Arabidopsis thaliana: one gene and its partners. The protein of the gene in region 3 purifies or fractionates together with the protein of the main gene of each other region. This does not show direct contact. Each region holds a gene or a part of one and is shown on either strand. Other genes may lie near its edges.

What was found. Proteins that work in one complex are often made in the same cells at the same time.
Region 1: the proteins of AT2G17630 (region 3) and EMB3127 fractionate together in Arabidopsis thaliana (co-fractionation; one large-scale study listed by BioGRID). This does not show direct contact.
Region 2: the proteins of AT2G17630 (region 3) and CSY1 fractionate together in Arabidopsis thaliana (co-fractionation; one large-scale study listed by BioGRID). This does not show direct contact.

What each region holds. Positions count from the first base shown.
Region 1 is NC_003075.7:256,527-264,668, reverse strand, and holds EMB3127 (Amino acid dehydrogenase family protein), read left to right. Parts: upstream 1-3,379; 5' UTR 3,380-3,880; coding exon 3,881-4,061; intron 4,062-4,213; coding exon 4,214-4,539; intron 4,540-4,616; coding exon 4,617-4,853; intron 4,854-4,955; coding exon 4,956-5,123; intron 5,124-5,233; coding exon 5,234-5,404; 3' UTR 5,405-5,682; downstream 5,683-8,142. Other genes in the region: KEA2 (K+ efflux antiporter 2), read left to right, coding at 184-273, 450-587, 684-812, 1,035-1,244, 1,528-1,677, 1,840-1,893, 2,029-2,087, 2,178-2,244 and 4 more; AT4G00610 (DNA-binding storekeeper protein-related transcriptional regulator), read left to right, coding at 6,726-7,712; AT4G00600 (Amino acid dehydrogenase family protein), read left to right, coding at 8,059-8,142. UniProt on the Arabidopsis thaliana protein: Catalyzes the oxidation of 5,10-methylenetetrahydrofolate to 5,10-methenyltetrahydrofolate and then the hydrolysis of 5,10-methenyltetrahydrofolate to 10-formyltetrahydrofolate.
Region 2 is NC_003074.8:21,718,313-21,727,154, forward strand, and holds CSY1 (citrate synthase 1), read right to left. Parts: upstream 5,479-8,842; 5' UTR 5,415-5,478; coding exon 5,178-5,414; intron 5,056-5,177; coding exon 4,875-5,055; intron 4,713-4,874; coding exon 4,627-4,712; intron 4,553-4,626; coding exon 4,448-4,552; intron 4,374-4,447; coding exon 4,311-4,373; intron 4,237-4,310; coding exon 4,127-4,236; intron 4,041-4,126; coding exon 3,921-4,040; intron 3,837-3,920; coding exon 3,687-3,836; intron 3,612-3,686; coding exon 3,491-3,611; intron 3,391-3,490; coding exon 3,293-3,390; intron 3,180-3,292; coding exon 3,068-3,179; intron 2,814-3,067; coding exon 2,754-2,813; 3' UTR 2,461-2,753; downstream 1-2,460. Other genes in the region: AT3G58730 (vacuolar ATP synthase subunit D (VATD) / V-ATPase D subunit / vacuolar proton pump D subunit (VATPD)), read right to left, coding at 183-968; CSY2 (citrate synthase 2), read right to left, coding at 6,252-6,392, 6,467-6,590, 6,686-6,783, 6,894-7,014, 7,106-7,255, 7,334-7,453, 7,612-7,721, 7,811-7,873 and 3 more.
Region 3 is NC_003071.7:7,663,172-7,670,393, forward strand, and holds AT2G17630 (Pyridoxal phosphate (PLP)-dependent transferases superfamily protein), read left to right. Parts: upstream 1-3,376; 5' UTR 3,377-3,465; coding exon 3,466-4,734; 3' UTR 4,735-4,894; downstream 4,895-7,222. Other genes in the region: CYCB2;1 (Cyclin B2;1), read left to right, coding at 993-1,053, 1,161-1,296, 1,385-1,450, 1,529-1,685, 1,772-1,900, 1,987-2,076, 2,151-2,372, 2,469-2,567 and 2 more; ATSERAT3;1 (Trimeric LpxA-like enzymes superfamily protein), read right to left, coding at 5,067-5,122, 5,226-5,285, 5,374-5,447, 5,533-5,699, 5,799-5,893, 6,033-6,057, 6,146-6,241, 6,327-6,386 and 2 more. UniProt on the Arabidopsis thaliana protein: Involved in the plastidial phosphorylated pathway of serine biosynthesis (PPSB). Catalyzes the reversible conversion of 3-phosphohydroxypyruvate to phosphoserine.

The DNA of each region.
Region 1 (8,142 bases), on a different chromosome or scaffold from region 3:
CCTTTTGTGTTGTGTTTATTGTGATGTAATGGCAGATGGCGTAAGTTCAATATTTCCTCTGCTCTTTTAAGGAAATACTCATGCTCATGTGTTGCTAATATTTGCTGTCTTGCATATTTCTCAAGGAAGCCTATAAATTATTTTGTAAGAGGAGAATGCTAAGTTGCTAACTACTTTTCTCAGATTGGATTTCAAGCCATTGCTGAAGCTCTTGGACTAGCTGCAATCAAAGCAGCAGTTGCTATCACTGGCATAATTGCTGGTGGCCGTCTCGTAAGTCTCAATGGTTTTCTAGTTTCTGTTTTGAGACTCATATCCGAATAAGTTAAACAACAAAAGAGAGATCCATATAAGTGATGAGAAAACATTAGATTTTCTATAGAATGGGTTTGCATGAACATATAATGAAACTCTATAGCTAATGCTGCTTCTGCGGTGCTGAATCATAGTTTTACAATGCATTGATTTTCTGGTACACACAGCTTCTGCGGCCGATATACAAGCAAATTGCAGAAAACCGAAATGCTGAGATATTCTCCGCCAATACACTTCTGGTTATTCTTGGGACTAGTTTACTTACAGCTAGGGTATGTTCTTGATTTTCCGTGTTGGTGCTTGGTATTCTCGTAATTTTGCTTTGTCTTTTGTTTCGTTAAGATAAATTGTTTCTTTCTTTAAATTAGGCGGGACTTTCCATGGCATTAGGAGCGTTTTTGGCTGGTCTACTACTTGCAGAGACTGAATTTTCCTTGCAAGTTGAATCAGATATCGCTCCATACCGTGGTCTTCTGTTGGGACTCTTCTTCATGACGGTAATTTGTGAACTAGGTCTTGAAAATAGCTGATCGATAAGTTTACTGTTTTCCTTGGAGATGGTCAGAAGTTATTATAAATAGGATATTAAGGAATATATAGGATATGTAATGTGTTATGGCCTGCTTAAATGCTCTTGTAAGATTCTAATTTTGTTTCCAGCTCTTAAAGTACAATTTATCTCGTTCATGAAACTAATGGGACGAGCTGCATAAAATCAGGTGGGCATGTCCATTGATCCAAAACTTCTTCTCGCCAACTTCCCTCTCATAATGGGGACCTTAGGACTCTTATTAGTTGGCAAGACTATATTAGTGGTGATCATAGGCAAATTGTTTGGCATTTCAATCATATCTGCCGTGAGGGTCGGTCTTCTTCTGGCTCCAGGTGGAGAATTCGCGTTTGTTGCTTTTGGAGAAGCTGTCAATCAGGTTATTATATATATGATGATTTCTGTTTTTTGCTTTTTTACGATGGGTTTAGTAACTGCAGTGTTTCTTGGAGAGTATATGGGTTGTTTTTGATGCTTCCCATCTATTATTTTTTGGAAAGTTAGGCTCACATCATGATGCAAGCAGTTCTATTAGTTTACAATTAGTCATTTAAATGAAAACTAGAAAACGATATTGTCATGTTTTATGGATATGACAGCTGAGGTTTCAGTTCTACTTTATTCCCATGTTTCCTCTAAGGCTTGATTGGTATTTCTTCCAGGGTATAATGACTCCGCAGCTATCTTCATTACTGTTTCTCGTCGTGGGAATATCAATGGCTCTTACTCCTTGGTTAGCTGCTGGCGGCCAATTAATTGCGTCTCGATTTGAGTTACAAGATGTTCGAAGTTTATTACCAGTTGAAAGCGAGGTACTCCTTCACAACACTTTAAAATAAGTCATTTATCACCATTCCTAGTTTCAATTGTAAATTTAAAACAATAAAGCCATGATTGACCTCAATATCCTTCCGAAGCTCATGCATTCTTGGGGTAAAAATGACTGATCCTTTACTTTCTGAATTTACTTGCAGACGGATGATTTACAGGGTCACATCATTATTTGCGGATTTGGACGAATTGGGCAGGTTGGTATCGTTATCTATAAACTTTGTTGCGAAAACAAACTCCTCTAGAAGTTTAGATAGTTTGATTTAGAGAATAGTTTGGTGATATATGATTAAATTCGTCTTTGACCGCTGCTTTCTAAATGTTAAACGCAGATAATCGCTCAGCTTCTTTCTGAAAGACTTATCCCATTTGTTGCCCTCGATGTCAGCAGGTAATGTAACATGCTTGCCTTGTCTTGCTCAATGTATCTAACCAGCTCTTTATTTGTCTCATTTCGCACCAAAAATCTCTTATTTTACAGTGATAGAGTAGCAATTGGTCGTTCCCTAGATCTTCCAGTTTATTTTGGAGACGCTGGTAGTAGAGAGGTAAGAGTAGAAAGCTGATGAAACAAGTCAAAAGTATAACCACACATCATCCAAAATTATTGACGTTGTTTTACCTATACGTGCAGGTACTCCACAAAATCGGGGCAGATAGAGCATGTGCTGCGGCTATTGCTTTAGACACACCTGGAGCAAATTACAGGTGTGTCTGGGCTCTTAGCAAATATTTCCCCAATGTCAAAACCTTTGTCCGTGCACATGACGTTGATCATGGTCTCAATCTTGAAAAAGCCGGCGCTACCGCTGTAATAACTTCCACAACTTTTCTATTCTCCTTCTGTCATTGCACAACATTTTCAAAGTAAACTGATTAAAATCTCGATACAAAAACTCGTTAGGTTGTTCCTGAGACGCTGGAACCAAGTCTTCAGTTAGCAGCTGCTGTTCTTGCACAGGTACAAGAGATAATTCTTGTAGTCATTAAGTCACCAACAATGTTATTTGGGGTATTTGTTAAACTTGTCGGCTTCTTTTTCAGGCCAAATTACCTACATCAGAAATAGCAACAACGATCAACGAGTTCAGATCTCGTCACTTGTCTGAACTAGCTGAGGTATATATTTGGTCTATTTAAAAAACTACAATTCTTCTTACTCTCCGGTTTAATGGATCCTATGATGGTACAGCTATGTGAGGCAAGTGGAAGCTCTCTAGGTTACGGGTTCTCAAGAAGTACGAGCAAACCAAAACCACCATCACCATCTGAAACATCTGACGATAACCAGATTATTGAAGGCACACTCGCTATCTAACCTTTTTTCTCGCTTCTGGTAAGACCACACAATTTCAACTTCTTTTGCTTAAAACTGTACAGAAACCAAAATCCTTATTTTGAAGAATCTTAGCGGAGAAAAAGTAACAAACTCTCAAAATTTTGATGGGATGATGATGTGTTGAAATTTCTCTAGTTTCTTTCCTCTGGGGGAAAAACAAAGGCAAATAATATTTGTATTCAACATATTGGGTCTAATATGTGAATCTATCCCTCATTTATCCGACACTATTTGTCTGTACTTTCTACCTTTGCTTCACCCTTCAACAATCTTGGCAATCGCAATAACATGACTTGCTCTGATACCACTTGTAGTACATTTAGCTTTGATTGTTGGAGCTCTCGAGTTAAATCACAAGGGTATATATATCTAGTGTGGTACTTTAGACCGCAAATAGAGAATAGACCGTAAGTCAACGAACTTACATGTATTGTTTATATATTGATCAGTGTTAATTACATGATTAATCTGAGTTTAAGACGACTAATCAAATTAAAAAGCTACTAAAAATATGAAGCGGTCCGATTGGATTTATTAAAAAAGAAAAGAAAACGAAAGACTGGTATAATAAAACCGGAAAATTCAGGTGAAATCAACAAACCGGTTTCTTTTGTGATTTGAATGAACTTAAACCCTTGTTGATATCAAAAGAAGAAACCCTAGTCTCTCCGACTCTCCGTAGACGACGAAGTTATCTTCTTCAATTCATCGTCTCTTCTCTGCTCTGCTTTGCTCTAGATCACAAATTAAAAGACTTCATTAGTCTTCCTGTCTCCACCATTACCTTCTTCCTTTTTAACTCAGCCACGACGAGCAGACTATTGTTCTGTTTTCCTTGTATAAAAATGGCGTCGATGATGTTTACCGATTGCTCCTCCACCACGACGTCGCGTCTCATCCATTTGAACCGAAGCAGCGGTACTTTCCTCCTCCGTCAATGCGTCGGCCAACTCCGTTTACAGACCACTGCTTCTGGCCGTGGCTGCTGCATTCGCTCCTCTTCTTCTCCCATTTCTTCCATTTCCGGTAATGATTAAACCTTTTGACTTAATTGAGCACCAAATTTGAACTTGACATCGATTGAAATTTGTAGACAATTAGACTGTTCTTCCCTGGAAAATTGAGTTTCTTTATTCTCATGTTGGAATCATAAATTTTTTTTTTTTTTTTTGGTACAGCTGATACAAAATCAGAGGGTGGCGCAATTGTAATAGATGGAAAGGCTGTGGCAAAAAAGATTAGAGATGAAATCACAATTGAAGTTTCAAGAATGAAGGAATCAATTGGTGTGATTCCTGGTTTAGCAGTAATCCTTGTTGGTGACAGAAAAGATTCTGCAACTTATGTGAGGAACAAGAAGAAAGCTTGTGACTCCGTTGGAATCAAATCGTTCGAAGTTCGTCTAGCTGAAGATTCATCAGAAGAAGAGGTGTTGAAATCTGTATCAGGATTCAATGATGATCCTTCTGTCCATGGAATCCTTGTTCAGTTGCCTCTGCCATCGGTAAACAAAGTCTAATAACTTTCTTCGGAACTTAAATAAACAGTGAATTACAATAGTGTTTTGGGATGTTGTTGCAGCATATGGATGAACAGAACATACTGAATGCGGTTAGTATAGAGAAAGATGTTGACGGATTTCATCCGCTAAATATTGGACGGCTTGCCATGCGTGGAAGAGAACCCTTATTCGTTCCTTGTACTCCAAAAGGATGCATTGAGTTGTTGCATAGATACAACATTGAAATCAAAGGAAAGAGAGCGGTTGTTATCGGAAGGAGTAACATTGTCGGTATGCCAGCTGCTCTTTTACTGCAGGTAATGATGATGATACCTTCTTTAAGATGCCGTTTTTTCTGGTTGTGACATTCGAAAGTTAGTTACATGTTTGGTCTTTATTGTTGTGTTTTGTATTTGTAGAGGGAGGATGCAACCGTTAGCATTATCCATTCAAGAACCAAGAACCCTGAAGAAATCACAAGAGAAGCTGATATTATAATCTCAGCTGTTGGACAGCCAAACATGGTCAGAGGAAGCTGGATAAAACCGGGCGCAGTCCTCATCGATGTTGGGATTAATCCTGTTGAGGTGAGTGGAATTTTCTTTTTGACATATGGTCATGGCGTAATTCAGTGATATAATAAGTTTCAAATCAACCAGTATGCAACATTCATACATGTACATAATATGAATTGCAGGATCCAAGTGCTGCGCGTGGATATCGATTGGTTGGAGACATTTGCTACGAGGAGGCTAGCAAAGTTGCATCAGCCATCACACCTGTTCCTGGCGGTGTAGGACCAATGACCATAGCCATGCTTCTATCCAACACTTTAACATCAGCTAAGAGGATTCACAACTTCCAGTGACGTCACTTAAAAAGAAGATTGCTGGCCTTTTGGGAAACAAACAAATCGTACTCTGTTTTTTGAAGCCAATGATTTACTTTGGTCTTTAAAGAAAGTTATCGTTTTGTTCTATGAAACAAAACATGTAGTTTTTAAGTCACATAAATTGTCTTCAACATTGTTTGTCTCTTCTTGGTATTTTGAGTCAGAACTAGTTTTAACTTATCCCAGCTATGATATATCCCAGCCTCACCCATCGGTCTCTTCGTCATTATACTTTATTTATAACTACCTTTCAACGAAGGTTAATTTGAAACAAGAAAACACAGTCACTTGTTCTACATTACTTTTGTTAAACCCTAACTTGAGCTCGAAGCCACGACCACTGTTCTGTTTTCCTAGTAAAATAATGGCGTCGTTGATGTTAACCGATTGCTCCTTCTCCACGACCTCGCGTCTCATCGATTTGAACCGCCTCAACGGTGCTTTCCTGCCCCGCTGGTGCGTCAGCCAACTCAAGCTTTCCCACCACTGCGCCCGGACGTGGCCGCATGCGCTCCTCTTATACCACTGTGCCCGGACGTGGCCACATTCTCTCCATTCGCTCCTCTTGTATAGACTAAACCTTTTCATCCAATTGCTTACGTATTTTCAGATATCCAACTCTTAAGATTTTACTTTTCTGTTCAGCTGATGAGGCGATGGTATTTGATCAAACGGCTGTGGAACTAAGTATCATGCAGGAGATCAGAGTCGAAACTTCAAGAATGGAGAAACTAATCAGTCCTGGTTTAGCAGTAATCCTTTTTGGGGACAGAGAGTTCTCTGAAGAATATAAAGAAATTTAAACTCTAGCATCTTTGCTCCAAAAACAAACTCTATAGAGTTTAAATTTCTTTCTTCTTTTTTACAAAAGAGGGATTATAGTATTATACACCATAAACCCCGTAAAATTAAAAGAAGGTATTCAGTTACCAAAATCGGATTTAGTAGCATTTAGTTTTTTTGAATTTTAAATGTACACCATAAACCCCGTAAAATTAGTCAAAACAATTAATGTGATTTATGATAATTGTAATTAAATAAAAAAGATATTACTCGATTAGTAATTACTGATTAACTGAATCATTGATCTCATTAAACAATTAAAGAAAGATTACTCGATTAGTTAGCATTTAGTTTTAATTTTTTTAATATACTAAAAATACCAATCGGAAATTCAGTTACCAAAATTAGATTTATTAACATTTACTTTTTGAATTTTAGATGTACACCATAAACCCCGTAAAATTGGTCAAAGATTTATGATACTTGTAATTAAGGAAAGAACCAAATGCAATATATGGTTTCGGTGCAAAACCTTAAAACTGACCAACTTCTCAATTTTTTATTTAAAAACCCTACCAAATTTCTCTCTCGTTTCTCTCCGATGGCCAAGAACAAGACTTTGGTTACTCCATCAACGGTGAAGAAGTCATCTGACGTCGCATCTACGTCAAAGAAACTGTCGGGAGTCGCATCTCCAGCGAAGAAACCGTCGGGTGTCACATCTCCGGTCAAGAAGCCGTTGGAAGCCGTCGCATCAACTTCATCTGAGGAGGAGGAGGAAGATGAGCCTTCCAGCGATTCAGAGTCGGGATCGGAGAGTGAGTCTGACACTGAAGCTGAGCCGATGACTCTTGCTGCTGCTGCTCCTTCTTCTTCGAATGAGAAGAGACAAAGTGAAGGAAAACCAGAGGAGGAACGAGCCAAGACTGAAACAGAGACGGGGAAGAAGCCACTGTTGTTTCAGAGATTGTGGACTGATGAAGACGAGATCGTCTTTCTTCAAGGAATGATCAAATTTGCTAAGGATACAGGTAAGAATGTTTCCGAGGACATGAATGGCTTTTTCGAAAAACTTAAAGATTCGATTAGCTTTGAGGTGAAGACTGATCAGTTCGTTAACAAAATCCGGTCTATGAAGAGAAAGTATATTGAGAACAAGAAAACTACTACAGAGCATGATAAGAAGTGTTACGAATTGGCTGAGATAATTTGGGTAAGTGATGGTGATGCTACTGCTCTTGTGAAGCCAAAGAAGAAGAAGCTTAAGGTTGATGAAGAAAGTGATTGGTTCGAGAGGTCGTTTGTTGATGGTGCGTTTAAAGAATTGGGTCCGGGGGTTGATGAAGAGACATGGAAGAAGAATTGGAGTTTGGTACCGGTGAAGAAGAGGAAGAGGATAGAAGAAAAGGTGAAGTCCATGCAAGCTGATGAGCTCAAAACGACGTGGCAGAAGATTGACGTTGTGCATGAGATGAGATCTTTGATGGCTAAATATGTTTAGTCTTTATCTGTTTAGAGATGCATTTGCCTATGTTTTTCTTTTTGGTTTTGTGTTGGAACCTTTATGGCTTTCTCGTTTATTCATATGTTTTATGTTAAAGATGTTTTTTTGGATAACAAAAATAGGTGGTTTTTTGTTTGCATCTTAGTCTTCTTCCTTTGTTACTACAGACATGAAATCGTTAGATAATTATGATATGATATAAACTAATAATGATTCTAGGAGATAATTCCTAATGGATTTAAGATAAGTACATATCTTCTATATCTACCTTTACACACACGTTAACTTAGAAACAATCTACTTTGTTTTCTTCTGTTTGCCTAGTAAACAAATGGCGTCGATGATGTTTACTGATTGCTCCTCCTCCACAACGTCGCGTCTCATCCATTTATACAACCGCAATGGTGTTTTCCTCCCCCGCCCGAGC
Region 2 (8,842 bases), on a different chromosome or scaffold from region 3:
GAAAAATTTTATATCAAAGCACAATCCAAGATGATACAGTATTTCATCTACATCAAATCCATTTTATTTGAAGAAACATAAGTCTGATGAAGAGAGTAATAACAGCGCGAAGGCGAAAATAGAAACCGAGCAAACACAGAAGGCACAAAGAGAGAGAGAGAGAGAGAGAGAGAGCCCACACCTCAGAAAATAATGTCTGAATCCTTCTCAGCACCACCAACAAGGAAGTTACGAGCAGCGTTTATCGAAATCCCTCTCTGCATAGAGATGTCTTCAAGAACCATTTCCTCAGCAAACTCCTTAGCATTAGCTGCCTGTCGTTCGACTTCCCTCCTCTTGTATCCCTGAATCTTCTTCAACCTGAAGAAATCCTCTCTCTCAAGCTCATCAAGCTCTCCCTTGATGTAACTGATTGTATTCTCCAGCTTTGGTTTCACCACATTCTCCAGAGCGTTGACCCTACGGTTAGTCGTCTTGATTGCTTCATCAAGGGTCAAGAAAGAAGTCTGGAGAGAAGCAAGCTCAACTAGAACTTCAATGGCTTTCACATAAGCAACACGGCAAGCTCGGACCTGTTGACCACCTCTAGCTAAACCGGTCAAGTCATTCTTGGTCTCACCTTCAGAGAAGTGATCAAACTTAGGCAGCTTCACTCCAGCGATATTCTCTGTCCGAGAACGAACCTTCAAAGTAGCTTCTTTAACGTTCTCGAGGACAACATGTTTGACATTGTCACCAGCAACATACTTTACTTCGGTAAGAGCAAAAGACGATGTCTTCATCATATCTCCCATAGACTCCTTAGCTGTAACGATTTTCTTGAGAAGTGCCCTAAACTGAACAGTTAAAGCATCACTCTTTTTCTTGAGGAGAGCATGACCTCTTGTAGCGCCAACAAGACGAGCTTTCATAACCCCGAGCATAGTAACAGTGGGAACCACATTCAAACGCGCGTTTTGGCCAGCCATATTTCAAAACTACAGCAAATGAAAGAGATGGGATTAAACAAGGACACAAACAGACTTACTCTATTGACAGAAGCCAACAACAGAAGATGATTTTTCGATGATGCGAAACAATACTTGCATCATTGAGGAAAGAGATCAACATGGAAATCTCGTAAATTCTGGTTTACTAATTATAATTGAACAAACACGCAAAGATTCTTAAGTTTCACTAGGAAAATCTTAGGCTAATGAACCAAGCACCCAATCATTATCTCGAACGATCCATACAGAGATTCATCAGATTATCCATTTTTTGTTCCCAGATTGAATCAAAGTCTACGAATTTTCTAATTGAATCAAAGTCTACGACTTTAGGATAGATCGTTTCCCAGAAGATGAAATCTAGATCACAGAACACACCTAATCAATTGGACTCAGAATTGAGCAGTCAGGTTATATGGATACACGCCTAAATTTCCCACCAGATTCAATTGTTTCAAACCAAACTAAGAGAAGAAAAGAGTGAGATTTGGGATTGACATACCTGGGCCTCTCAAAAGGTGAATTCTTAACAAGTAAATCACTGAAATTAGATTGGAAGAAGCCAAAGAGAGAAAGAGAGATAGGAAGACAATGAAAATTGATATTAATTCAGAACTGTCGACAGGGGTAAGAAGATCGTATTCGACCTCGTCGCTGTGATCGTGGAGAAGAAAGAAATGGGCTAATTGTGTAATTAACCGTAAATATAAAGGGCTTATTTTTTACAAATAAAATAAATACGTATACAGCTCATCACGTATGGTGGGGCCTACTTTCGTGTCCTAAATCTGAGACCCATCACTTTCGTCTTTAGACGCGGTGAACTATATATCTCACGTTCTTATTTAGTGCTTAGGACAAAAACAAAACTCGGCCAAATACATTTTTTCATTTCCAAGTTTCAGGGATGAAATCTTGTTGTATAGAGTTTCCAAATGGTTGAGGAGAAAATAATCTCTCATTCAACACTATATTGTATGACATTTTTTTAAAAGGATATGATTTGGTGGTTAACTAATTATTCCGAATCAATGTGTGATATATAAAAAATCTTAGAACTAAAGCAATGTGTTATATTAACTAAAGAAGAATAAGAAGATCTTCTTTTAGAACTTTCCTCACAAAAGGCACAATATCTATCAAAAGTTATGTCTTAATTTCCTATACCAACTTAATTATTAGATGGAATTGATTATAGAACCACTATACTTAAGATATGTTTTAAATCATAAATTTTAAAATAACAGACAAACAAATGAAAAACAAATTCAATAGTATGTAGATTATTGAGTGTTTTAACTATAAGGAGAAAGAAAACAACACACATTGTTGAGAAGACCCTTTTGGTTTTCGTCATTATTGCTGCATATATGTTCAATTACCAATCTCATCTTGATTTGTTGTCTACTATCTTCTTACTGTTTCGGTTATATTTAATTTAGATTTGAACTGTTTTTATCACTTTATGATTATTGTTCAACATCATATTCTTAAAAACATGCTATAATACACAAATATTTTTATTTTATTTTGACAACTTATACATACATAGACACACACACATGTATTACTAACTCGAGGTCGGATGGGGTTTACCCAAACTATATTTTATATAAGCATATATATTCTTTATATATATTTGTATATTCGCTTGGCTTTCCGAGTCAAATTTCATATTAGTAGTATAGGAACGAGACTTGACCCAGCTAACGCCTTCTTGATGCATTCGAAATGGAAACTTGACCCAACTGATCCAAATCCGAATCACAGCTTGGTTCTTTCTCTCACTGTCTCGTAATGCCTTATCCCCGCTCCAGTATAGACCTGTGCCAAAAAAAACTTTTGATCTATTCAAAAACTGCATATATCCATTAAAAATTGTATTACTCATGAGCCAAAAAAAGAAGAAGGTTCAAGTCATTAATATATCCAAGAGTGTATGTATCTATGCATAATGTATAATCTCATGAGCAAAAAAGAAAACTTAATTACTCATTGATCTATCAAAAAGTGTCTTTATTAGCCATGAGCCAATGTTATCTAAACAAAGTCACTTATATATTAAAGGTGTATTTTACCTGTTGGGGTCTCATGATCTTTGTGTCAGGATCATCTAAAGACTCACGCCAGTGTGACAAGTATCCAGCGATACGTGATACTGCGGTGAATGATGATGGGATTCCCATTGCCCTGTGTTTTGGCCCATTTCAGTTACCAACAAAAAAGATTCAAATAAAGAAAGAACTCAATGGTTACAACAACTCATTAGTCAGAATTTGTTAGATAACTAATCAATGTCTTACCTATTGATTAATCCAGAGTAGAAATCAACATTTGGGTACAGCTTTCTCTTAACAAAATATTCATCAGAAAGTGCCGCCTTCTCTAGAGCATCTCCTACCTGAAAACATTATTTATACACCAAATATTTTCTTAAACCAAATTCATCATACATATGAAGGATTCAACAAGGAAACGTGAGCAACAAGAATACAGAGTACCTCAACCAGAGGATCCCTTCCAAGAATGGAGAACACTTCATCCGCCAGTTTCTTAACGACTTTTCCTCTGGGATCGTAGTTTTTGTAAATGCGGTGTCCAAAACCCGACAACCTCCTCTTCCTGGAATAAAAAGAGTTAACATTAATGGAATATTGACCATCACATTCTAGGTATACTCTCTAAGAATTGAGTTACTTATTCTTCACGCTTTCAATGAACTCTGGAATATTTTCAACAGTCCCAATCTCTGATAACATGTTAATCGTAGCCTCAACTGCACCACCATGAAGGGGACCATAAATGGCTCCAACACCTCCCGAAACAGCAGTATACACATCACCACCACTACATAAACAGAGGATTTATGTGCTGATTAAAAAGTATCTCATAGCAGACTCAAATGAATCTCTAACCAATGATAAGTAGTACCTAGAGGAAAGGTGCCTAGCAGCAGCAGTAGAGCAGTTCATTTCATGTTCAGCTTGCAGTATGAAGAGGATGTCCAGCACTCGAGCCAAACGAGGATTAGGCTTGTAAGACCTATCTCCCCTGTAATCAATGGAAGATGAGACTAAACAAGTGCACAGTTTTATGGCTACCATCTCCAAATCAAACAAAGAGGGACAATAACGTACATTGATTCCACCATATAGAGGAAATTCTCTGAATAAGAAAGGTTGCTCAAAGGTTGAACAGGAGGCTTGCCTGCCTTCCTCAAATAAGCAGCTGCTGCAATTGTTGGGGCCTGCAGACACGTTATATTATAATTCATAGTCCGGTTATACATTGAGGCACCAAATCACACAGACAGAACAATACCTGTCCAAGAACACGAACAATCTGTTTATCACGAACTTGTTTTGACTTGTAAACACCTAGGCCCTGCACCAAATGGGGATTTCCATGTCGGCGTGGAAATTTTCAGAAGAAAGCAGGATTATAAAAACGTAACTTACCATAAGAGACGGATTTGCATCAGGATAAAAGATGGAAAGTGCACTCATTGCAGTGACAAGAGCTCCTACTGGATGTACATCATTAGGCATGGACTGTATCATATCCTGTGAAAACATTCAGATAAATCATCTCACCTCGAAGATCTAGAGAAAGTTAGGAAAGAGTAGAAGAAACTCACCAATACTCCTTGTGGCACAGCTGAATTCTGAGAAATCGCAAACTCCCAATCAGCTAGCTGTCTTTGAGAAGGCAGATTCCCATAAACTGCATGCAAAAACAAAAAAAGCAGTAGTAAACTAGAGCACTAAGGGAGACAAAATTTTAAAGAAATACCCACACAAAAGCAAGACTATGAGCTATACAAGATGATCAAGATGATCATAATTAAGCAACAACAATGAGCTATACAAGATGATCAAGACTTACTTAGGAGATAAGTAACCTCTGTATAAGTACTTTTCTCAGCCAACTCCTCAACTGGGTATCCCCGATAACGTAGGATTCCCTCATCTCCATCGATGTAAGAAATCGAAGATCGAACAGGAGCCGTGTTTAAGTAACCAGGATCGTATAAGTTAAGCCCCTTGTCATCCTTCCCTGTCGTTATCTTCACACCAAACATGAAAATCCATTTATACACACTCACACAATATACAAAAAACAATCTATTCGTAGTACTAATGGCCACAATGAAGAAATAACTTCAGCATAAAAACTCATTATATATACCTTCTTGAGATCAACGGTTTTAACGGTACCATGCTCTGAGACTGGGACCTGATATTCATTCCCCGTACGCTCATCGACGATCTTCAAATTTCCTTTAAGCGATCCATGCGGTGCAGCGGTTATGTGAGCCGATGTGCACCATGGTTCGATCGCTGGCAACACCTGATTCGGCTCAGATACTGTCAAGTGCGCATTGAGAACGGCTAATCGAGCTCTAGCTCTCTCCGAAATCTCCATTTGTCACCTCAAAAAGATCACAATTCAAGAAAGGGAAGCGAATAAGAAACCAAGTGGCTGTTGTAGTTCAAAGTGATATATAGGCATGCATGGTTTTATAGTGGGGAAATTTGATAATTTCATTACGTAACACTTTTGTCTTAATACTTTTGTGGGTATGATTGGCGTGAATCTACAGTGTCTTCTTTGTCTTCAATCAGAGTTTTGTGGCTTTTAACCAATTTTAAGTATGTGTCTCTGCGACAGTTATGTATTGTTTTGGTTGCTTCTTACTTCTTTCTGTTAATCAGTGTCAGGTACTCCAGGGTTTGTTATTTAACGTCACTTTTCTTTTATATTTGTTCACACTTCTCACAATTGTTCTCATTTGAAATGGAAATATTATTGGCAATAATGCAAAATGATAGGAAACTTTCAGGCAAATTATAAATACCGTACAAAAAAATATGATATGATGTTCAATGAGTGGTTAGCTTATTGTTATCACTTGGAATCTGCATAACATATTCACCCTAAAAATAACATTCAGTTAATCCTAAATGATATGATTTGGTGGTTGACATTTTCCAAACCAATGTGTTAGACATGTCTTCAGAAATTAACATTAACAGGAATAAAAGCGCAATTTATCAAAAGTACATGTCGTTCCCTATAACAAGATTATTATTATTAAATCATAACATTTTAAAATAACAGACAAACAATAAGAATAGGGTTGTATTATTAAGTGTTTAAGAATAAGAGAAAGAAAACAACACATGTTGTTGAGAAGACTCTCTTGTTTTCCCAGAGGTATCCCAATGTTTTCTTCTTTATTGGTGAGTATTAGGATTGAGACTAAAGGGCAGATGATCCAGCTAAACGCCTTCTTGATGCATTCGAAATGGAAACTTGACCAAACTTATCCTTATCCGAATCACTTGATAACGTTCGTTCTCTCACTGGCTCGTAATGCCTCATCCACACTCCAGTATAGGCCTATATGCAGCCACACAATTCAGTTAGCTCAAACTATAAACCTTTTGATCTATCAAACAAGTTATGTATTTTACCTGTTGGGGTCTCATGATCCTAGTGTCAGGATCATCTAACGACTCACGCCAGTGTGACAAGTATCCAGCCATACGCGGGACTGCGAACAGGACTGTGAAGAATTCTGGTGGGAATCCCATTGCCCTGTGTTTTTCCCCCATTTCAATTACCAACACAAGGTTCAGGTAAAGAACTTAATGGTTACAGGGTCTATGTCAGATGAATCAGCAATGTCTTACCTATAGATTAATCCAGAGTAGAAATCAACATTTGGGTACAGCTTTCTCTTAACAAAATATTCATCAGACAGTGCCGCCTTCTCTAGAGCAACTGCTACCTGAAAACATCATCCGTCAAAACAAAATTTAACCCACAGTCATGTTATATAAGAATTTTTTTGACAACCAAATACTAGGAGAGATACGTGAGCACAAGGATCTACAGTACCTCGATGAGAGGATCCCTACCAACAATGGAGAACACTTCATCTGCCAGTTTTTTTATAACTTTTGCTCGGGGGTCATAGTTTTTGTAAACACGATGTCCAAAACCTGACATCTTCCTCTTTCTGAGAACATAGAAAAGGGATATAACATTACCGGCATGACTCACCACAATTCAGAGTACTTGGTGCTTGTAGTTATTAAGCATTGAGTTACCTGTTCTTCACGCCTTCAATGAAATCTGGAATATTTTCAGCAGTCCCAATCTCTGCTAACATCTTAAGCACGGCCTCGTTCGCGCCACCATGAAGTGGACCATAAAGCGCCCCAACAGCTCCAGCACATGCGGTGTACACATCAACACCACTGCAGAAACACAATACTGATTTAAACACTCAAAGAAGTCTAAATGAATATCTCTAATCAGTGATAACTGATAAGTACCTAGAGGCAAGATGCCGAGCAGCAGCAGTAGAGCAGTTCATTTCATGTTCAGCATGCAGTATGAAGAGGATGTCCAGCACTCGAGCCAAACGAGGATTAGGCTTGTAAGACCTATTGCCCCTGTAATCAATTGAAGATTAAAGAATGTATCCTGTGTTACAGACACGTTTGAAGCTTGAAACAGATTTAAACTGACTAAAGAAACACAGTTTTTCTGACTACCCTTTTAAAATGCAAGTGTTAAATCAAATAAAGACAGAAGAAAGAGGGGAAAGTACATTGAATCCAGCATATAGAGGAAATTCTCTGAATAAGAAAGGTTGGCCGAAGGAAGAACAGGAGGCCTGCCTGCCGTCCTCAAATAAGCAGCTGCTGCAATTGTTGGTGCCTGCAAACACGTTGTAAACCCTTTTTCTAGTCCCGCAACTTATACACAGATACGTTAAGGAAACAAATCATCAACAGATAGAACAATACCTTTCCGAGAATGCGAACAATCTGTTTATCACGAACTTGTTTTGACTTGTAAATGTCTTGGCCCTGCACCCAATGAAAGAAAATCGAGTTGGCATAGCCATTTTCAGAAAAAGGCATCTTGACAGTACGAAAAGAACAGGATTTCAAAACTTACACTAAGAGCAGGATTTGCATCAGGGTGAAAGATAGAAAGTGCACTCATGGCACTCACAAGAACTCCCATTGGGTGTGCATCATGAGGCATGGACTGTATGATATCCTGCAAAAACATTCAGAAATCGTCTCAGATCAAAAATCCATAGAAAATTCTTTTACTAAGCATATACACATAACTATATTCACAACGGCGAGTAAGACATAAGGTACTAATACTAGAAAGAGATCCAGTATCCTTAATAGACATGGTTTACAAGCAAGACAAACAACTTGTACACTTGACAAGAAATCATTTTCAAAATCCCTCTTTGGTTTGGATTTGCATTCTGATACAAAGTTTGGAATTTGCACTAGTATGAAAATCCAAATAACGAAAGAGTAGAAATTTCACCAATACTCCTTGTGGCACAGCTGAATGCTGAGAAACAGTGAACTCCCAATCAGCTAGCTGACTTTGAGAAGGCAGATTTCCATACACTGGAGACAAAAAAAGGGGAATTTTAACACGACACTAAGAGAGACACAATTTTCAAGACATTTTCTTTTCCACAAGTAGACGCCACAAAAGTAAAATAAGCAACAACAACAACAAGAATAAGCAACGAGATTGATAAAGACTTACTGAGGAGATAAGCAACCTCAATAAAAGTACTGCTCTCAGCCAACTCTTCAATTGGGTATCCCCGATAACGTAAGATTCCTTCATCTCCGTCGATGTAACAAATCGAAGATCGAACCGGAGCCGTGTTCAAGTAACCAGGATCGTACAACTTCAGCCCCTTATCATCCTTCCCCGTCGTTATCTGCACACCAAACATGCAAATCCATCAAATTCCTTATCATATTCAGGGAAAATTAGGTGAGACGAATCAAAAT
Region 3 (7,222 bases):
GGAAAGGTTGTGTAGAAGAAGAAGAGGACAACATAGACGAGAAAAACAAATTAATTGCTAATAATACGAAGAGTAAAATCGTCAATACAAGAGAGAGAAGTACATAATTGCATAGACACATGATTTTGTGCATGTATCAACAACGACATATACTTTTAAGTGCTTTATTCATAATTGATCCGTAAATTAATTGTTACATAATCTTTCGAAAACTTCCATAACTTTTTTAGAACATTTTTTTTATCTGTCAAAGCTAGAAACATTAATGTGTTCAAACCATTATTGATATTCTTCATTGCCAATAGCCAATTTATGTTTATATTTAAATTCTAAATCCTGAAATGTAAGCTCTAATTCTAAATTCCAAATAAACACTCTGACAGGCCAGCAAAATTCCAAATACTTTAGTAAATATCCACCTACAAAATAAATTTCAAATCGGAAACAATAACTCCCACGGGCCAGCATAATTCTCAGTACAGAATCTTGTCTGTCTCATATTGAAACTTTCTCTTAAGAATAAGATAGACTAAAAAGCATGACTAGCTCTGTAAATGTGATTAATTAATAACCTAAGATTGTTGATTAAGATAAAACATAAAGTTTTAATCAAAAAGTTTGTTAGAGGCGCGCCTATGGAGCGTACAATTGTGTCTTAAAAAAAAAGGTTAAGCCACCAAAATAACAAAAAAGAATAATAATTTTTTTGAAATACGACGAAAGCCACATGCCTTGAACCAAAGTTACCGTTGTCTGAATATGAACCAAACTTAGAAGTAAATCGTTCCCTCATGATCCAACGGTTATATTCTAAATTCTAATCCTAGCCGTTCCTTTTTTAAAATTAAAAACTCAACACTTTTTTTTATTTTGTTTGTATCTTCCTCTTTTGCTTATTTCATCCCCTTCTTCAGATTCTCTTCGTTTAATGCTCTTCTTCTTCTACTCTCTTTGTGGGTTTCTCTTGTAATAATCACAAACCAAAAAAAAAAATGGTTAACTCATGCGAGAACAAAATCTTCGTTAAACCCACTTCAACGACGATTCTTCAAGGTAGTAGATGAATTTGTCGAGTAATATACGAGAATTTCGAGGTGTTTTACAGTTTGCGTAGGAGAATTCTGACAGAATGTGTTGTGTTCTTTTCTGGTTTTGTTTAGATGAAACAAGAAGTAGAAAATTCGGACAAGAGATGAAGAGGGAGAAGAGAAGAGTGTTGCGTGTGATTAACCAGAATCTCGCTGGTGCAAGAGTTTATCCTTGTGTTGTCAACAAGAGAGGAAGCTTATTGTCTAAGTAAATTTAACAAAATCTCTAATCTCTCACAAGTTAGTGTTTTTTTTCAATCTGATTGTGCTTATGGGTTTTGATTGATTTGAATCAGTAAGCAAGAAGAAGAAGAAGGATGTCAAAAGAAGAAGTTTGATTCTTTGCGTCCTTCAGTTACAAGGTACATAAAGCTTGAATCTTTCATTTCGTTTTTTGACTTTAAAGAAAGAAAGATCTGAGTTTGTTTTTGAATCTGCAGATCTGGAGTTGAGGAAGAGACTAACAAGAAGCTGAAGCCCTCAGTTCCAAGTGCTAACGACTTCGGTGATTGTATATTTATTGATGAGGAGGAAGCTACATTGGACCTTCCAATGCCAATGTCGCTTGAGAAACCATACATTGAAGCTGATCCAATGGTAACAACAACAAAACAGAATTCAGAATTTTGTTGATGGATTTAATTCATAAATCAATGATTTACAAGAAAATTTTGATTGGATAGGAAGAAGTTGAGATGGAGGATGTAACAGTGGAAGAACCGATCGTGGATATCGATGTCTTAGACTCGAAGAACTCGCTTGCGGCTGTTGAATATGTTCAAGATCTTTACGCATTTTACAGAACAATGGAGGTAAATTATGGTTTAGTTTTATCTGTTTTTGAAGTAATAAGTGGCTTGAGAGCTTCTTTAAGACAGTTCTTGATTTGAATTTGCAGAGATTTAGTTGTGTTCCAGTAGACTATATGATGCAACAAATCGACTTAAACGAGAAGATGAGAGCAATACTAATCGACTGGTTAATCGAGGTATATTATCAACAACATTCCACATTGTACTGTGTAGTTTGATAGAGGCTAAAGATGCTTGAGTACGTTTTCAGGTACATGACAAGTTTGATCTGATAAACGAGACACTGTTTCTGACAGTGAATCTGATAGATAGATTCTTGTCCAAGCAAAATGTTATGAGAAAGAAGCTTCAGCTTGTAGGGTTAGTAGCTTTGCTGTTAGCTTGTAAGTATGAGGAGGTTTCGGTTCCTGTTGTCGAAGATTTAGTACTCATTTCGGACAAAGCGTATACGAGGAACGATGTTCTAGAGATGGTAAAGGCCTGGCTTCTTTACTTAATAGAAAAAGTAATCTTGTCTCATATATGTTAAAGACATTCTTTGATTAAATGATTTCTTTCTTCTTTACAGGAGAAAACAATGTTGAGTACTTTGCAATTCAATATCTCGTTACCGACACAATACCCGTTCTTGAAAAGATTCCTCAAGGCAGCTCAAGCAGACAAGAAGGTTAGTTAAAAATAATGGACTTATGAATCAGTTTAACTAGAAGTTTGAATTTTAGAAAGGAACTAACTGTGAAACTGAAAACAAAACAGTGTGAGGTCTTGGCGTCGTTCTTGATCGAGCTTGCCCTTGTGGAGTACGAGATGCTTCGGTTTCCACCATCATTACTAGCTGCCACATCTGTGTACACTGCTCAATGTACACTTGATGGTTCCAGGAAATGGAACAGTACATGTGAATTCCATTGTCATTACTCTGAAGACCAGCTCATGTAAGTCTCTCTCTTTTTACCAAGAATGGTCCTTTAAGTCCATAAACAAAACTATTTGCAGGAAAAAAGACTGATCTTTTTAATTGTAATCGCGGGTTTCGCAGGGAATGTTCACGGAAGCTGGTGAGTCTGCATCAGAGGGCGGCGACAGGAAACTTAACAGGAGTATATAGGAAGTACAGCACAAGCAAATTTGGTTACATAGCAAAATGTGAAGCTGCACACTTTCTAGTGTCTGAGTCTCATCATTCTTAATCCAAAAGGACAGTAGTAAGTAGTTTGTACAGCTTCCTGACATAGTTCCCTCATTCACTCTGTAGCACAAATAAGAAGAAACAAAAAAAAAAGCCAATTAAATTTGTCTTATGATTGATTCTGTTTTTTTGTTGTTACTCTTTGTTCACTTCACTTGTCAGTATTAAACTCTACAATGAATGATAAATGATTGAATCATTTCATTCTTTGTTCAGAATGAAATGTATTTTGTATCTTATTTGAGCTAAATACAAAAACAACGTCGTTTTCGTTGTTTTCACTTTGACTTCTCTTTAGATCTCTCTCCCACCAACTCCTTCTTCACACTTCACTAAACTTCAGATACTTTTTGTTTTTTCCTCAAGATCAACGATAATGGCGGCGTCAACGAACTCATTCCTCATCGGAAACCAAACCCAAATCCCTTCTTTGAAACCCAAATCAATATCCCAATCCTTTATCCACTTCACTAAACCCAACACCATCAACCTCACCACCCGAACCAAATCCGTTTCAATCCGATGCGCTTCCGCTTCAACCACCGTCGGATCCGAGCAGCGAGTCATCAATTTCGCCGCAGGTCCAGCCGCATTACCGGAAAACGTCCTCCTCAAAGCTCAATCAGATCTCTATAACTGGCGTGGATCTGGTATGAGTGTTATGGAGATGAGTCATCGCGGTAAAGAGTTTCTCTCAATCATTCAAAAAGCTGAATCTGATCTCCGTCAGCTTCTCGAGATTCCATCGGAATATTCCGTTTTGTTCTTACAAGGTGGTGCCACTACTCAATTCGCTGCTTTACCTCTCAATCTCTGTAAATCTGATGATTCCGTTGATTACATTGTTACTGGATCTTGGGGAGATAAAGCTTTTAAGGAAGCTAAGAAATATTGTAACCCTAAAGTGATTTGGTCTGGTAAATCTGAGAAATATACTAAAGTTCCAACCTTTGATGGATTGGAGCAGAGTTCGGACGCCAAGTATTTGCATATATGCGCCAATGAGACTATTCATGGTGTTGAATTTAAAGATTATCCTCTTGTTGAAAACCCTGATGGTGTTCTTATTGCTGATATGTCTTCGAATTTCTGTTCTAAGCCGGTGGATGTATCGAAGTTCGGTGTGATTTACGCTGGTGCTCAGAAGAATGTTGGTCCTTCTGGTGTCACCATTGTGATCATTCGAAAGGATTTGATTGGGAATGCTAGAGATATAACTCCGGTGATGCTTGATTACAAGATTCATGATGAGAACAGCTCGTTGTATAACACGCCACCGTGTTTCGGGATTTATATGTGTGGTCTTGTGTTTGATGATTTGTTGGAGCAAGGTGGTTTGAAGGAAGTGGAGAAGAAGAACCAGAGGAAAGCTGAGTTGTTGTACAATGCGATTGATGAGAGTAGAGGGTTTTTCAGGTGTCCTGTTGAGAAGTCTGTGAGGTCTTTGATGAATGTTCCTTTTACGTTGGAGAAATCGGAGTTGGAAGCTGAGTTTATTAAAGAAGCTGCTAAGGAGAAGATGGTGCAGCTTAAGGGACATAGATCAGTGGGAGGTATGAGAGCTTCTATTTACAATGCGATGCCATTGGCTGGTGTCGAAAAGCTTGTTGCTTTCATGAAAGATTTTCAGGCAAGGCATGCTTGATTCTTTTTTGTTTTCTAGTCATCTTGTTGTTTATTATGTAAGCTTTGATGCTTATGATTTTGAGTTTTCGTTCCTTCTTCCGGTACTTGAATTGCGATTGTCTGCGGAATTTTTTCAGTAATAATAATTTGAGATAATAGATTTCATTTTCAAGCAAGAATCATTTACACTTTTATGTTTGTCTGAGACTTTTGAGTTGAGACTGAAAACTTCCAGTGAACAAAATCTTTTATTAGACAACTTATTGAGGAAATGCTGAGATTAGCTTATGATGATAAGCAAGAGCATACAAGAATTAGCTTATGATGGTAAGAAATTTGCATACAAAGATCTCATGATGTGCTGTTAGTGTGTCCTTTCTCTGTATCTCCTGCTGAAAGTGATGGTCCTGTTTTCAAGACACGTAAATAGGTAATTCAGATTCAGATCTTTCAGTAAAACTGTAATTTCAGATTCTTCATAGCAGAGTTCATTGTGAGTGTGCAAGTTACCGTTAGATTGTGCCCCTTTGTAACCATCAGCTACATGTCGAAAGAACTCTTTAGTAGCATCTGCATATTCGTTCAAGAACAGTCACTACTAAATCCCGAGCGAGACATATACACAGAGCCAGAAGTATATAAGAATCTGCAAACTCACCGTGTTTCATTGCTAGAGACGGGTCTTGCTCTTCCATGACCCTGATCAGTTTTGCAGGATTTCCAGCCACCACACTTCGAAAATACAAAGAGGGTTTGTTAACTAAACAAAACAGTGCCAGGTCATGAAGATTTGTCAGATGAATTTTCTCTTTTATACCTATGCGAAGGAACGTCTTTTAACACAAGTGAACCTGCAGCTACCATTGCTCCAGCACCTATGCTTATGTTACCAAGTATAGTCACACAAGCTCCAAGCAATGCACCTTCACCTATCTTTGGGTGGCGATCGCCAGTTTCCTTTCCGGTTCCTCCTAAAGTCACACCCTGTGACAGTGAAAACTCAAGTAGCCTTGAAAAACTGAAAGGAAAATCATGATCTCGGTATTGAATTTACAGGCAATGGTTTGGAGAAGAGACGCTTACATGTAAGATCGAGACACCGTTGCCTATCACAGCGGTCTCACCAATGACCACTCCAGTTCCATGATCCAACAATATTCCCTCCCCAATTCTTGCCGCTATGCAGAAAGAGAATTCAAGTAATATGTATAACCAGCAATCAATTCACCGGTAAACCTGATCAACTATTACAACAGAGAAGGGAAACTGAGAATGTTCAAACAGATGAGAGCAGAGATATGAAGCTCAAAACTCTACCTGGATGTATGTCAATGCCAAAAACCTGAGAGAAACCACAGCATAGATCAGACATTGAGCTCAAAAATGCAGCTCCAGCAAGACTCAACCAAAAGACAATGATCACCAACTACCTCGCTTATTCGGCTTTGCAATGCAAGAGCTAATAGTTTCCTCCCTTCATTCCACAGTTTATGCGCAACCCTATATGCTTGTAACGCATGATAACCCTGAAATGCAAGTGGGAAAACTCTTCATAAGTCACTCATTCCATGTGAGAAATGTTCTGTCTCTCAACTTCGAGTAAAGAATTACCTTCAGATGTAAAATAGCAGAACTATACGACAGACAAGCAGGATCACGATCTTTAAATGCCTGCAAATCATTGAGATACATAAGAAAACAACAAAGATCATGTCTTTTTACAGTATTAGGTGGAATGTTTTACCTGGAGATCATGGCGAATCGAACTCTGAATACCTTTGTCATGCATCATAACACCATAAAATATATCCAAGAGTTGTGTTGCCAACAAGGTTGGGTTTTGGAGACGGTTGGCTAGAACAAACCCTAAAGCTTGCTCTAAACAATCATGTGCTAAGATACCAGCATACAAGAAGCTACTCAAAATAGGCTCTTTCTCTGCCTGAAACGCACAACAAGATTCACCATTATAAGATTCAACATTTCACAAACTGTACTCAAACTTTCTTGTCCTATGTTTGGTTGGATTAAATATCAAGGCTTTCAAAGAGAGAAACAAGACTGACTAATTCTAAACCCTAATGGATACTACTATAACAACTGTGGATTAACATGGAGACGCAAAACCATGACATTTACTTTATCTGAACAAGAATAAGAATCGATGAAGCAGAGAAAGTGTTAGAATTTGAGGGAAACCTCAAGTTTAGCTTCTTCTCTTATAGCATCCCAAATAGGATCAGAACGAGGATCAAGCAAATTCGAGTCAAACTCTGACTTATGAGTTCCCTTAGCGTAAACCTCGAAACCACTCTCGAAAGGAAGCTCATCGCCATTCATATCTCTCCAAGGAGACGATAAAGAAGAATCACAAACTCTTTTTGATTGGACAAAAGAGAGAGAGACGGAGAAAGCAAAAAGGAGGCTACTTTAATGGATATGATGAGAAACTTTGAGAAACCCCTTTTTAATCTATTTTGTTTTCTTAGTGGATTCTCTCGATGGTC